Linked DNA regions of Rattus norvegicus. The protein of the gene in region 2 purifies or fractionates together with the protein of the main gene of each other region. This does not show direct contact. Links are inferred from orthologs where the notes say so. Each region holds a gene or a part of one and is shown on either strand. Other genes may lie near its edges.

Evidence for each region. The genes of interacting proteins can lie anywhere in the genome.
Region 1: the proteins of Atp6ap2 (region 2) and Atp6v1a purify together in Homo sapiens (co-immunoprecipitation; 3 studies listed by BioGRID and IntAct, with this or other methods). This does not show direct contact. The link is inferred for Rattus norvegicus from reciprocal best matches to the Homo sapiens genes ATP6AP2 and ATP6V1A.

What each region holds. Positions count from the first base shown.
Region 1 is NC_086029.1:70,064,749-70,072,177, reverse strand, and holds the start of Atp6v1a (V-type proton ATPase catalytic subunit A), read right to left. Parts: upstream 4,677-7,429; 5' UTR 4,586-4,676; exon of another isoform or gene 4,572-4,585; intron 3,305-4,571; exon of another isoform or gene 1-3,304. Other genes in the region: Naa50 (N-alpha-acetyltransferase 50), read left to right, coding at 5,715-5,722. UniProt on the Homo sapiens protein: Catalytic subunit of the V1 complex of vacuolar(H+)-ATPase (V-ATPase), a multisubunit enzyme composed of a peripheral complex (V1) that hydrolyzes ATP and a membrane integral complex (V0) that translocates protons.
Region 2 is NC_086039.1:12,879,803-12,887,103, forward strand, and holds the start of Atp6ap2 (renin receptor precursor), read right to left. Parts: upstream 3,869-7,301; 5' UTR 3,784-3,868; coding exon 3,744-3,783; intron 1-3,743. UniProt on the Homo sapiens protein: Multifunctional protein which functions as a renin, prorenin cellular receptor and is involved in the assembly of the lysosomal proton-transporting V-type ATPase (V-ATPase) and the acidification of the endo-lysosomal system.

The DNA.
Region 1 (7,429 bases), on a different chromosome or scaffold from region 2:
GTTTTTAGTGAGCAGGTAAAGATAAAGAAGTGCTAATCTAAAGATATAACTCCATATATTTATTCACCATATTCCATATCTATTATATATAATGCTGTAATTAGGCTTTCCCTTCTCAATAAGAAAAAGGAAAATAAAAAGCATTACTGATCACAGATTATTTACCAATACACATAAAAATGAATGAAAATACACTTACTATATCCCAGTTACTCTATAGGGAACTGACTTTAATACAAATATTCAATTATTTCTTAAACTATTTTCCTTATAGTATTTTTGTCATGATTAACAAAAAATATAAACTTGAAAAGCTCTATTTCAATTATTATTTTATTTACTCATACTTCCCATGCAAAACCACTAATCCTTGTGAATCACTAAAGAAGGAAAAAATTCTTACTCTAGTTCATGTCCATACTGTTTCTTATATTGAACAAACTTTAAGAGTGGAGAAATAGTTTCCTAAAAACGATTCCATGCATTAATGATCATAAACATTGAAAAAATTAACATAAAAAACCCAGTGAACTATAGCTAAAACCAAAATAAGGGAATTATGCTGCTATTCCTCAGCTCCTACTAATTACTAAGCAAGTTTGGAGTCTGTCAAAGCCAGATATTCTGGCACTAGAGTCTGCAGTCCAGCCACTTGGGAGGCTGAGGCACACTGACTAGCCTTAGTCTGGTGGTTTGAGAACAATATGAGTTACAGCATGGCTAGCTTCAAAGAACATGCCCAGAAAAGTTCTTTTGGCTCTATTTTTCCACGATAGACTCATTTCAAATTTTAGTCCATTCCCTGCAACAGAAACCTTTTGTGCAAAAACGTTTTGTTTTTTGTCACTCTTGTAGGGCACTGTATATCTCTCCTAGAAGTTCAGGGTGTATGACTGAAGCATGTCGTTCAATTAGTGAGAACTTCTGTTGGTGGAGTGGCACATATCGGTAATCCAGCACTTAGGAAACAGACAGGAAGAAGACCATGATGAAAGCTAGGCTTGACCTCCGTTTAAAAAAAACTTATAAAGTATGTACTAACCACTGTAGACTTATGATCTACCTTGATAATACCTACGGGCTAGATTTAAACAGAAAGAGACTTCATTTTAAGTGCCCAAGGTCAGACAGTTAATGATAGGGAAGGCTAAAACCTAATCCCAGGCCTCTGTGATTGGGAAATCTATTCAGGAAAAGTTTGAGTATACTAAGTTACGCTCACTGCCATCTAGCTTTCAAACTACTCTCAAATTGATTATCTAGGCTTATCTCATTCACAATACCCTTGGGAGGAAAGTTTCTTAGTATGGAAGCCTGAGGTTTCCAGCATCGGCTGCACTTAAGAAGGCACATGACCAAAATGGAGGCACTGAATGAAGATCCTCTAACATTAGGGCTGAACCATAGGTCTTACCATTATCAGTAAGCGCGACACGCTGTGGAAACAAGGTGCTTACTGAATTAATAAAGTCCACACAGGCTCATATCTACTCTATTTAGGATTTGGAAACTTGGACTGAGAAGTTAATACTTAGTGCACAGCCTTTAGGGAACTATAATTCGTAACAATTAAGGCAGTTTAATTTCCTTTTTAATCATTCAACGCTTATTCAATAAACGACCCATCAGGGCCCTCAGTATTCTGTTTGCTTTAACAGGGCCTCTTCTATCCACTTCAGCATCCTTGTGCAGAAGATATAACAGAGACAGATTGTTCTTTAACTGCAGGGAGGTTTACTGAGGAATACCCCAGCTACCAAAAGTAGCCTATATGGAGAAGTAAAGAAATACAGAATATTGGGTATATCAGCCTAAAGGACTAATTGGCTACCGTGGCCCAAAGGAAAGGACACACGTTCACTGGTGACACCCTGCAAAGACAGGGTAATTAAGGGAGATTTCAGAGTAAGAAATAAAGGGCGTTGGGGCCCCAACCCTTAAATTCTCTCTTTCCCCCTCCTTCCCTGTCTCTCCCTTCCCCCATAGGCCTTCTCACCTATGAAACAAGGTCTTACTTTGTTGCCCTGGCTGGCCTAGAACCCACTTTGTAGACCAGGCTGGCCTTCAACTCAAAGAACTCTGCCAGACCCAGTGCAGAGATTAAAGGAGGGAGCCATTATACCCAGACCCACACAGAAATCTCATTAATATCAGAAATGCCTTCCAGCGCTCAAACCATCTGTGTGTATACAGCATCAAATTCTTCTTTAATATTTACTCTCCTTAGCTGTTTGGTTGCCAATTCCAGATTTGCTAATCCTCCCGATTTCATTAGAAGTCTAAGGTACTGCTTTCTTGAGTTCCCTAAAACTGGAGCAATTAACTGTGAAATAAAACTGCAGACTCATCCAGCCTTTCTTATGAACTTCTCCTCCACCAGGACTCAGTGCTTTCAAACTGGGTTCCTCCAGCCCAGTACACCTGCACAGAACTGGTTTGGACTTTTAAAACACGAAGGAATTCTGTTTATTTGGTGGAATGTCACATGGGCATGAAGCAGTGCCAATTTTTTTTCTCTCTCACTTTGGAGGAAAAATGATGGGTAAAATTATATTTCAGGCTGAGGAGATGACTCAGTCGTGAAAGCACATGCTTTGCACATATGAAAATCTGAGTTCAGCCTCCCAGGTGGCCATGTAAAAGTAAAGTGTGGTACTGTGCCTTTAACCTCGGTGCTCAGGGCAAAAGACAGAAGAATCCTTGGGGCTGAATGGCCAGCTAGGCTCCTGAATCAGTGAGTCAGGTTCAGTGAGAGAACCTAGCTCAAAAAAGGGGGGTTGAGGTGGGGAGAGCAACAAAGGAAGGCACCTCTGGCCTCTACGTGCAGGAACAGACACAAATAAAAATGTCAACAAGTGAATGGTTCAACCAACTGTGGTGCCATCCATACCACAGAATGATTAGCAATGCAAAGGAACAAACTATTTAAGAATCTATATTTAAGCTTGTTATAGAAACATACCTATTGTCTAGTCTGGATCACAAGCACACAATGGTAATTTGGGCAATGCAAAATCATTAAGGCAATATTTTAGTAAGAAGTAGCAAATAGGCCAGTCTTTCTATCTTGTTAAATTGTTATCAGTTTAAGGTTTTGGCTTTTAGCTTTTTAAACAAAATCTGATAAGAAAATTTGGAAGGGGATAAAAAAGAGCACCAATCACTGTAAGATAATCATTCCATCCTTTTCCTATTTTTTTTTTTCTTTCTAGTATGAGGACTGGGTGAAGAGCCTCGAGCATGCAGTGGAAGCAAGAACCATATCCCCAAGTCCTCAGCAGATATTAAAAAATAGATTCCTCAATTACATTGCATAGAACTGAGATTTAACTAAAAATCTTATTTCACATAAGAAAATGCATTCTTTAGGTTATAAAAGTCAAATCTCTGATTTTGTAAGGCCTTTGGATTCAAAGCAATGAACTTTCTAAGCTTGTAGCACAAATAAAAGAGTTTAGCCCCAAACTGAAGAACATTCCTTTGGTCAAGTGCATTGTTTGAGGTGAAAACATTGGCTACTATGGTGCATATAAAATGGAGTACAAAGGGTTGGGCAACCCTAAGCAAAACAATTTCTGTACTTTTCACAAAATATTATGCACTCAAGTCTGAGAAGGGTCACTTGAATCTCTTTAACAAATGCAGAAGTGAATTAGGAACATAAGCATTTCTTCACAGATTTAAACTGATTGGGAAGGGCATAACTTGTAGGATTTAAAAGAAATGTCAAAAAGGAATGACCCACAGTCAGTAATGTCTAGACTCTCCTTGCCTTTAAATTATAGGCAAATAGATTTGGATTAATTATGTTTTCAGCTTGATCAGTTTCCAAAGAATTACTTCCCCTTCGGGAAAACCTCGTCACTTTCCTGTAAACTAGTCTGGGTCTCCAGCCCAAAAAGGTAACACCATCTTTCATCGCCTTCCCATTCAACTGAGACTGTCGCATTACCAACACCCTGTTCTGAGGATTGTACAACCTTCTTCTCTCCGAAGAAATAAGGCCCGTTCTTACCCTTCCAGTCTCATCCAAACACTCACTAAACCTCTCCTGCAAGGATGTCGGACAAAACCCTTAGAATCACTGAGAACGCACATTTGTGGGGAAGCCCTTCAGTGTGACTGCAGTGAGGGCCATATCAGTGACATTCCCTACTAAGCCTGTCTCACCGGAGACGCCTCTGCCTACAGGGGTTTTCCTCCATTCTGATCAACCAGGCCAAGGCCTTTGCCAAGGAAGGAGCTTTGGGGAATGGGACCCGTCGTTTGCTGCAGACCCCCAAGAAATGGCTAAAACAATTCTACCACCTGAATCAGCCCCAAATGCTCTAAAGAAGGAACCATAATGGCCGCACTCGCTCTCAACACAGGGAAAGGTGGGCATCATAATCCCTCGTCGTGGACTAAGGTGAAGGGTCAGGGGTCCAGCAGATCTAGAAAAATGAGCTCCTCGCTCATGCAGGAGGACAACGCGAAAGGAGCCCCAAGCACCGCACGCCGCGGTTCACACATCCCAGTGTCTATATACTCTCACCCCACCCCGTCAATCGTTCCCACCAGCCACCAGTTACCTGTCGCACCTCACCTGCCCGGGCTCGCAATGCAGAATCTGTACCTAGACCGGACCCAGAGGCTCTGTCACTGAGAGAGGGGAAGTCTTCAGCTGCAGGAGGCGGGTCAGCCCTAGCTAGTCATGTGACCTCAAGCCCCACCCCGCTTCCCCTCCCCAGGCACGCTGCGTCTCGCAGGCTTGAACCTTTGCGGATTGCTTGGATGTGAATGGTTCCGCGATTTAGGAAAAGCGTTATTTTCTTTTTCACAATGACTGGGTTATATAAACTACAGTACAGAAAACGAGGATGGCAAGGGTTAAAGTGCATTGCTAAGGAAGTGACGCTGAGTCACGCTCTAGGGACCGGAAATGGCGATGAGTCCCGCCTCTAAAGGCCCCAGTAAAATCCTGGCTGGAAGGCATAAGCCTATCACGTGATTTCAAAAAAAAAAAAAACCTGTGAGGTTTGCCTGCTGGAGGATGGCCAAATTATCCAGACCCATCGTTACCTTTTGAATTTAAAACACATTTACTGCAAGCCTCCACAGGCTTTCTTACATTGAGAAGAATCCATTTTGTAAAACCCTATTAGGGGACAAGAGGATTTGAAGGTCACTGGAGGTCTAGAAAGTGGGTGGGGGCGGGACAGGCTGATCTTGTTGGTTTGAAAGAGAGGGAAGGGTGGAAAAATCCGGATTTTACCGCCGGAGCCTACCAAGCAAGCTCCACTGGAGTGTCGCAAAGGGTGGGTGGAGCTAGCCGACCGTAGGCCCAGCCCTGGAGAAAGAGGAGGGGGTGGAGTCCTGGCGGCGCCGAGCACTGCGGTTGCGCGCGACGCGGCGGACGCGCCGGCGCGCTGAGGGGGCGGGGTGAAAGGTCACAGCGCGGCGGCGGGTCTGGCTGGCGGCAGCTGCGGGCGGGAGCTGAGTGTCCGGAGTGCACGTGTGGAGAAGCGACGGCGGCAGCAGCGCGGCGGCGGCAGATCTCCCCGCGTCTTCTAGAGCTTCAGGGCCTGGCTTGGCTTTCGAGGCCTCGTCGTCCCCTCAGCCAAGAGGCCGGCGTGTGAGGTTGAGTGGCCTGAGCTTAGGGCGCGGAGAGCTCGGGGCGACGAGGACGACGGCGTTGGTGGCGGCTGTAACGACGGCCTCAGCAGACGGAGAAGATGAAAGGGTGAGGAAGGGCAGCGGGCGAGGGTCCGGCGGGCACCGGAGAGGGGCGTGGGTCGGTGGACTTGGGGAGCGCTGCGGGGAAGAGACTCGCGCGAAGACCTGGCGGAGGGACATTGCGAGGCTTCCCCGGTCCCTTGGCTCCCGGAGGGGGGCGGAGGCTAGGCCGGCTGTTGGCGGGCTGAAGGGCCGGCGGAGGCAAGGGCGCGAGGCCACGATTTCAACCCGGAGAACGAGTGTGCACCGAATGAGACCCCGGGGAGAAGGTGTTAGGACGCGCCCGGGGCCTCTTCCCGGGAGCGCACGACTGAGCCGCCTCAGGTGCTCATCCAAATCCGGGATCCATGCTGTGGCCGCGGGCTTTGACACGTTGCGGTTTTCTTCATACTTGTGGGCCGTGCAGAACCTTCTGGAGGGAAAAGGAATTGGAATAAAGAGCACGGAGGATGAGTGCTAGGAGCTAGTGACTCAACGGACTTGGGTTGGGTCAGAGCGAGTGGAGGAGGGAGGGAGGGGGAATGAACTCCAGCGGTGTAGACTTTGGGGTGCCAAAATGTTTAAGGAAGTATCATGGATCAGTAGGTGGAGCTATTGCTTCAGTGGTGTGTGTTGCCCCCCAGTGCAAGGAGGAGCTGCTTTTTTACTCTTCGTTAGCAAAGTTGAGGTTTAATCTTTCAAATCTTCGGTAACGCTAGAAGTTATTTTGGCTTAACTGTTCCCGTTTGGTTGAAAGTATTTCCTTTCCACTGATTTATATTACTGTTCAGTATTTAGCACCGCCAGTTTTGGAGGTTGCCTTTACAATCTTTAGAGGAAAAAGAAAGCTTAAACTTTTTGAGATAGCGTAAGGGTTTTTCTAAGTCAGCTGAAAATTATTACTAATATTTTCAGTTAAATTGTTCAGCATCGTTTTTTGGAGAGCGAAATAAATCGTCTCATTCTCTGTAAAATGAGGGACCTCATATCTGAAATGATTCTGAGAAAGTTTTGACTTTAAGTCTGCATGTAAGACATTTTTTCTAAACTCTGGTTTGCTTTAAGTTATTAATTTCAGTGGTTTTTTTGTTTTTTTGTTTTTTGTTTTTTGGGTGGTGGTGGGGGAATGTTTGCTCCATCTGAGCCACTATTCGGGATGCTTTTAGAAATTTTTAGAAATATGACTCAGTTATCTTTCGGAATTTTATTTTACTAGTAGAGTACCACTTTGATACTCTTATTTTTTTTCTACTCATTGCTACACATTTAGAACATACTTGACATGTTCCGTTATAGTAAAAACAATGAAGATAACAAGACTAAGAAATTATGCTGGAAGTTTAGGTTAAAAAATCTTGGGTCTAGTTCAGTTTCGTTAGGTATAGGATACTTGACAATAGAAATGATGCCACACAGTGGTGGTGTTGGCTGTTTATTTGAACTTTTATTTAGGGTACTATTGAAGCAGTTCTACCTTATTAACTAACTGGAGTTCTTGGAATTAAAGGAAAGTACTCAGTGCTCTGCAAGTACCCTGCCACTGAGCTATATCCTCAGCACTTTATTTTGAGGTAGAGTCTCACTAAGTTACTCAGGCTGACACTGAGCTTGGCAACAATCTTCTTGCCTCCCTTAACCTTTTGAGTTGCTGGTATTATGAGCTTGAACCACCTTTACCAGCTGGTTCTTTTTATTTGAGTAGATATTTAAGTATATATAACATAATGGAGGCCTA
Region 2 (7,301 bases):
CTGCCTAAACTTAGAACCACTAAAACCCCCTACAAGTGTCTTGTCAAAACAAAAGCTGTCTCAAAATGCTTCCCTTCGGGGGAAGAACCCTGGGACTGACTGTATAGTCCAGTCCTTTGCTTTCCTACTTTATCTTGTGCTGCCTGCCTTGTCCCCCCCAGTCTCTGCCTACACCCTGAAACAGTACACCGAACCCTGAAACCCCATTCTCCGCCCTTAATTGCCTCACTTCCCCACACCCGACACTGAGTCCCTCTTTGAAACCCCACCTAGGCCTTCATGAAGACGAGGCCCCCTGTTTTCTTTCCAATTCCTCTGACTGTTGCGTTTTCCTGCTCCACCCTTTAAAGCTATGGTGCTGGGCTTTCAATATCAGTTCTGTCTGCCTGTTTTTGTAATACATATGATACGTGTATGTCCAATCATTGATTACAAATCTATACCGTATTATAAAGCACACTCAAAACATTTTGACCTCCAGTGTTCTTCCCAATGTAATCATGATATAAACCCAAGTTTTAAAAATCTGACCATTCTTATTTAAAATAAAAGGATTAAAAATCCCCACATACATGGAAATTCTAGTACGTACTCCCAGCACTCAACTGAATCATGAGGCATACTCTCTTATTTGAAAGAGCCGAGGTCTACATCACACTCCCTGACTGAGCACACCTATCCCTAAGGGGTAAAACACCCAACAATAGCCAGCTCCTAGGTTTTTATTCCCGGTTTAGCTTTTCCCCAGCCTTAGGCCTACACACAATACTGACATTTCTTTGTAAGTCTTACTACCCCCTCAAACTCAACAGTTGGTTTGAATCTGGACTCACTAGCTTTCCAAAGACTTCTGTAGGCTCTCCTCCATTTAGTTGCTCGAATACTTCCTCTTTAAGCCTTTCTGCCATACCACAGCCAATCACCCAGTGCTTTCAGCTACTCTCTTTCTTATTATTTCCTGACCCCCCCCACACACACACACTACTACCACCATGCCCATCCCATACCAGGTTTGCTGCAGCTGGCTGCCTATGACCTTGTCAGCCTGCCCTCAGCTCCATATTTCCAAAATACAAATCCATTTATTCACCCCTCAGCTTAAATGCCTGTGCTCACTACCTAGAGTCTTGTTGGGGGAAAACCAAAATATCCCCTGGCTATCTCACTGACCTGACTTCTGAGATTCCAGCAACGCCGCTCCTCAGCTCTCACTACCCTGTGCTTACATGCACATACTGTTCTGCTTGGATTCCCCCACCTCAGCCTTCCACACCTGGGGAACATTCCTTGGGCCTCCGCCAGGCTGTGTCTAAGAGGAGCTAGCGTCTCTTCCTCAGAGACTCCACTGTCTTGTGCAGCAAGCTTCTAAGAATGACGGAATGGAACCAATCAACTTTAAGAAGGACTAGGGGCTGCTTCTGTCCTTTCAGATATCAGAGACCAAAATGAACTCCTTCCTCCTTTACAGAGTCTCTACAGATACCATGGGTTAACTCTTGGTCCTTTTCCTCCAGGCTAAATATCAGAAGTTTTTCAAATATGCCTCAGAACATGGTATTCATAGCCCAGGTTCCCTAGTTCTTTCTAGTTCCCTAACACTGTTTCAAAGTAAACAGTGAAATCTGAGCTCTTAAAGATGTTTTCCACCAAATCACACTTAGTCATTGTGGAAAATAACACTGTACCCTCACCTGACAAGAGCCAGCAGCTCAGAAGCTCAGGCTGTTGTATGAACTAAACCATTTTAGCAAGGATAGCATTTCCAAACCACATAGAGAAATAATTATTTTACCTTAGACAAAAAAACAAACCTCACGGACTCAAAATGTCATAGAGCTGAACACAGTGGTGCTCAGAAGGCAGAGACAGGCGGGTCTCTCTGAGGTCAGAGCCAGCTAGGACTTAATAAGATGTCAGATAGGATATTAAAACAGGGAATTCAACAGATGTCCAGCTAAACTACAGTGTCAATGGAAAGGTTTTGTTTTTAACTTTTAAACCCAGTTAAAACAAAAGAATTATCCCAAAGTGTGTGTGTGTGTGTGTGTGTGTGTGTGTGTGTGTGTGTGTGTGTGTGTTACGTACATACACATGGATGTACATGCAAGCATGTGGAGTCGGAGGTCAACCTCCAGTGTCTTTCCTCAGGAACTGTCCACCCTATCTCTCATTGGGAAACGAAGCTCATCTATTAGACTACAATGGCCAGCAAAGAACTTGTACAGATGCACCCGTCTCTACCTCCCCAGCCCAGAGTCTAAGCCTGCACGGCTATACCTAGTTATTTATATGGGTGCTGGGGTTCAAAGTCGTGTCATCATGCTTTTGTGACCAGCACTTACCAAGTACCTTGAAAAATCCCCAAAGTATCTTGATTAAATCAGAATGGCCTTTCCAGAGCCAACAACAACAATGAAAAAGACCCTAACACTTTGGAGGCCTGAATTTATATTATATGTAACTATTAACACAGAGGGCTGGGCACCTCCAGGGCAGAGAAGAGCTTTGGTGTTCAAAACCATCACTAGGTCTTTTTCACTTCAACTGCTATCCCAAAAGTAGGGCCTCTCAGCATCTCAGGCAGCATGGGCACTAGGTATCCCCTTGACACAAAGCACCCATTCCTCCAAGTTTTTCTCCACTTGAAGTTTTTCTTGAGACAGAGTTTCTCTGTGTAGTCCTGGCTGTCCTGGGACTCACTCTGTAGACCAGGCTAGCCTTAAACTCAGAAATCCACGTGCCTCTGCCTCCAGGGTGCTGGGATTAAAAGTATGCGCCGCCATGCCTGGCTTCACTTGACTTCTTGTATCCTATTGTCTGCAACCCCAGTCTCTGTCCCACTATTTTCATGTTGCCACAGAGCATTCCCTGTGCCATACACGTATAGTGGAAAGACATCCTCTACTTGGAAGTCATCTGATCTGCCTTCAAATCCAGCTTTGATACATATTAACCTTGTCATGCCGCCCTTGATTTATATTCTGCAAAATGAGGAGACTTTCTTCAAAGGATTACTGTAAAATGAAATGCATTACTACATGATACTCAAGCCACAGGCCAAATATAAGCTCATTACCACTCTTCTTATTCCACGTTGGAGAACATAGGTTCCACTCAGAAAGCTACCATTTATTTGACATGTGACTCTAAAAGCATGACTCATACCCTACCCTCCCTTTAAATTGGGAACTGAAATCAATATTAAGAAACTGTCTGCGTTAATCTTAAGACATAATCATTATATATATATTAAAAAAAAAAAAACACGAAGACTCAACTCCGCATCCTGATCTGTATATACACGAGGGAGGTAAGGTTTCATCCGCTGTTAATAACAACCATTAGAAATGAAGGTGGAAAAAAGACGGCAGCAGGCGGCAGCTAAATCGTTAGTTAACCTTCCCTTCTTGGTAGTGGATCGTGGCTGAACGCTGTATTGAGAAATGCAAACCCTTCCTCCAAAGGGCCTCGAACAGGGAAGGAGTGATCCGGCAAATTGGGAGACAGGGTTCCAACCAGCGACGCGCATTTCCCCGAAAGGCTGATGCCAGCTCCAGAGTCCCCAAGGTGGCCCTGCCCGGCTCCAGAGACCACAAGGCCGCTCCGCCCGAGCCAGATCAAGGTCCAGAACCCCAAAGAGGGCGCCAAACCCAGACCGCCCCCACTGCGGCCCCCGCCAGCAGCCGCTCCCGCCCAGGGTCCCCGCGCCCCCTAGCCTCTCGCAGTGCTTCCTGGCTACTCACTCGACACCAGAGAAGAGAGGAGAACGACAAGCACAGCCATGGTGCCACGGCTGCTAAAGCGGAGATGAGCCACACGAAAAGGGACGCCGGGACTCGAGCGAGCACCGCAGTCAGACCGAGTGACGCGCTCCCGAAGGTTCCGATCCCCAAGTCCCTCCCCTTTAGACTCTCCAAGACAAGGTCTCGGCCAATCGCCAACTACGCCGCTACAGGAGAGAGACGTAGCCTGGGTGACGTTCGCAATTGGGGCGGGGACTAACGTGATGAGTGGCATGCTCTGCCAATAGGAGTCAAAGGTTTTAAGAGCAGGGCGGTTCTGTGCTGCCGGCCCACAATGACCGGTCACGAGATGAAGGGTAGGGCCGGCGGTTAGAGCAGGTACCCCCCTTCGGTTGCAGGTTCTCGAAAGCCCACAGTGAAGCTTACTCCCAGGTGTGGATCCTTTTTCCAACCTTCGGTGACGATTTTCAACATGGGCATCAGTCTTTCCCGATCTTGCACCTCCCTCCCGCTGCGACTGACAGCTGTGGAAAGCGCTGGGCTAGCTCAGGTTTTGCTCTCCGGAGTACACAGACATTGAGTACCTGCGGAAAGGAAGCCTGGCGCCTGGGGGAACCCCTGCCCGCCTAGTAGACGTGCTACTTAAAATATAGGGCTCCCGCTTGAATCTGAGTTCTAAAGAGTAATTTTTAGTGTCTGAAATATTTATTTTATTTATTTTTATATATACGAAGTATCCATTGTCTGAGGGTCAAATATAACTGGGTATCCTGTTTTTCGATTTACTGTATTGAACAACCCTGCTTCCAAATACTACATACGCAAGGAGTGATCCGATAGAATATTATTTCATTCGATCCTCCCTTGGTTTCTAATCCGATTCAGGGAGGCTATGTGATGGCTAGACACACTAATTAGACCAAAATCACCCCTTGGCTCATAGGCTCTTACCTATGATGTGAGGCAAAAAGTGGGCACATAATCTGTGGTTAGAAAACAACTCCCCAGCTGATGACCTTGAAAGATGAATATGATTTTAATATGTAAGTGGAGGATGTGAAAAGATCCAGGTAAGGAAAAAGGGTAGCGTATATGGTAGGGAAAATACCTTCTTTGGTGAACGTTTAACTATTTACTTTGACAAAAGAGATTTTATAGAGTAGGAGGACAGAACTAAAATTTTAGTTTGTTCCTTCCTTTCTTTCTTTTTTGGGGATGGAACCCCAGAGCTATGCATAACCTAGGCAAGGGCTCTCCCACTGAGCCTTACCTCAACTAGGAAAATGTTTTTATTTTTTATGATCGTGACTTGTATGCAGAACTACAATTCATTGAATACAAGTGGAGGAGGTGGTTGAATGTTGTTCAGTGCACAGATGTAAGATAGATTCGGTTGAGTGGAAATGGCTCACTGACCCTCAGTTTAGCGGCTCTGTTTTATCCTTGGAATCGACTGAGGGAGAACAAAGGGGCTGCAGCAGCTCCAGGAGTTGGGTGAAACTTAGCCAGCCCAAGAGCTGGAACCAAAAGCCCCCCACCCCTACCCCCACTATTTAGAATGCAGTTTCTAGAAACTACTATGTTTACCAAAGCCACTCTCAATTTATAATGCAGTCTGGACTTCCAAACTTAACTTCAGAATGCTCTTAACTCTCAATTTTGAGTTTTTGTTCAACAGAGAATTTGCACACATGTGTCTTTAAAGGACTATGAAGGGGGTTTGTCTTTCTATTTGGAATGTAAAATTATTATATTAGAACCAAAAAGTCTAAAGCAGATAATTTCAAAAGCACAGCTGTGCTGTGAACATTAAAAAAATAATTTAAAAATCATTTTTCAAGGGCCAAGGAGTTGGCTCAACTGGTGAAGGCACGAGCTGTGTAAAACTAAATTAGATTCCTAAACCAATCTGGATTTGGTGATGTGCATCCCAGTATTCCTGTGTTGAAATGGGAGGCAGAGATGAGAGAATGATTTGGAAGTTCCAGGGCCAGTTAGCCTGGAGTATACAACATAGCATCAGAAACAAGAGAGACCCTGCCCCAACAACCCCTGAAACTTGTCATCTCTGTCTCTGTCTCTGTCTCTGTCTCTCTCTCTCTCACACACACACACACACACACACAGGGGGAGAGAGAGAGAGAGAGAGAGAGAGAGAGAGAGAGAGAGAACACAAAATAAGTAGATAAAAGAGAATTTAACATAAAGTCCCTTCTGTGCACAGCAGCTAAAATTCATTCTGGTCCATCTTGCTGCATGTTGGAGAACAGGTTAGAGCCAGCAGCCCTGCAAGAGTGTGTCTAAATGATCTCATTTAGGGATGGCCGAGCTCCCACAAATTCAACCAAAAGAAACATACAGCCTTTTCTGCTCTTAAAAGAATCCTAGGACATCCTGATTTATTTTAATTTGAGAAATAGCAAAAAAAAAAAAACCACTATAAGCAGGTTAGAATACAAAATAACACTCTCATATGTCAAATTCACGAATTCTCTGTCCTGAGAAATACCTTTTTTGGTTTTTTTTGACTTGTGAGTCTTTTACATCAAAGGCTTCTTTTCAGCTGAGGTATCAAAGAGGCATTAGCATTCAGCGGGATAAACACTGTTCTAGCAAGCCTTCTCTTTGTGGCATAGATGGAGATGCTGAAACCTAGGGAGAGCAAAGGTCCTGGAGGGCACATAGACTCATCAGCAGTTCTGCTTTCTGAACACAGCCCTCAGGTTCAATCTTTAGTGAAGAGCATACGGGTAACTTTTCCATGGACGCAGTTAGAGGTGGAAATGTGGCAGGACAATGTGCAGTGCTGACCAAAGTGGTATCTTATAAGAAACCTCCCACCTTATAAAGAGCAACAGGAGCCCTCAGCTAAAGCCAGAGAGAGTAAAGACTCCAGCCCCCCAATGCCCTAAGGGGAGACAGGAGACAAAGGTGCCTTTCACACTGGGGTTGGCAGTGGGCGCTAGAGCTAGAGAGGTGGCTTAGCAGTTAAGAGAACTTGCCGTCCTCAGCTCCAGGGCGGGCGGGGGGGGGGGGGGGGACAAAAAGAGAACTTGCCAAGGACCAAAGATAAGTTTGGTTCCTAATAGCCCCATCAGATTCCACGGTTTCCGATGCCCTATTTTAGCCTTCAAGGACATACATGCGAATACCTGTGAACACGTGAATACGCACGCACACATGAATACTGTGGCACATGTGAATACTGCATATGTAAAGGTGAACCTTTAAAAGCAACGATCCATGCCCAGTTTAGATCCATGGACTCTGCCTCGGTCAGCAGTGCCTTCCTTGCCACAATGGCCTGAGAGAGCTCAGAAACCAGGATCCCAAAGCAAGTTTTACTCCTGTAGGTTGTTTCTATTAGGTATTTGGTGAGTGTTATACAAATATGACTGACATACTCAGCCCAATCCACAGGGAAAACATGGAGCACAGTCTAAGAGATGGGCTCTAAAATGCCAGCCCACTCCTCCTTGAAAATGTCAAGACACCCAAAAATAAGTTACTCAAATGAGTAACTGTCACAGCCAAAAGGAGCCTAAGGAGACACGATAA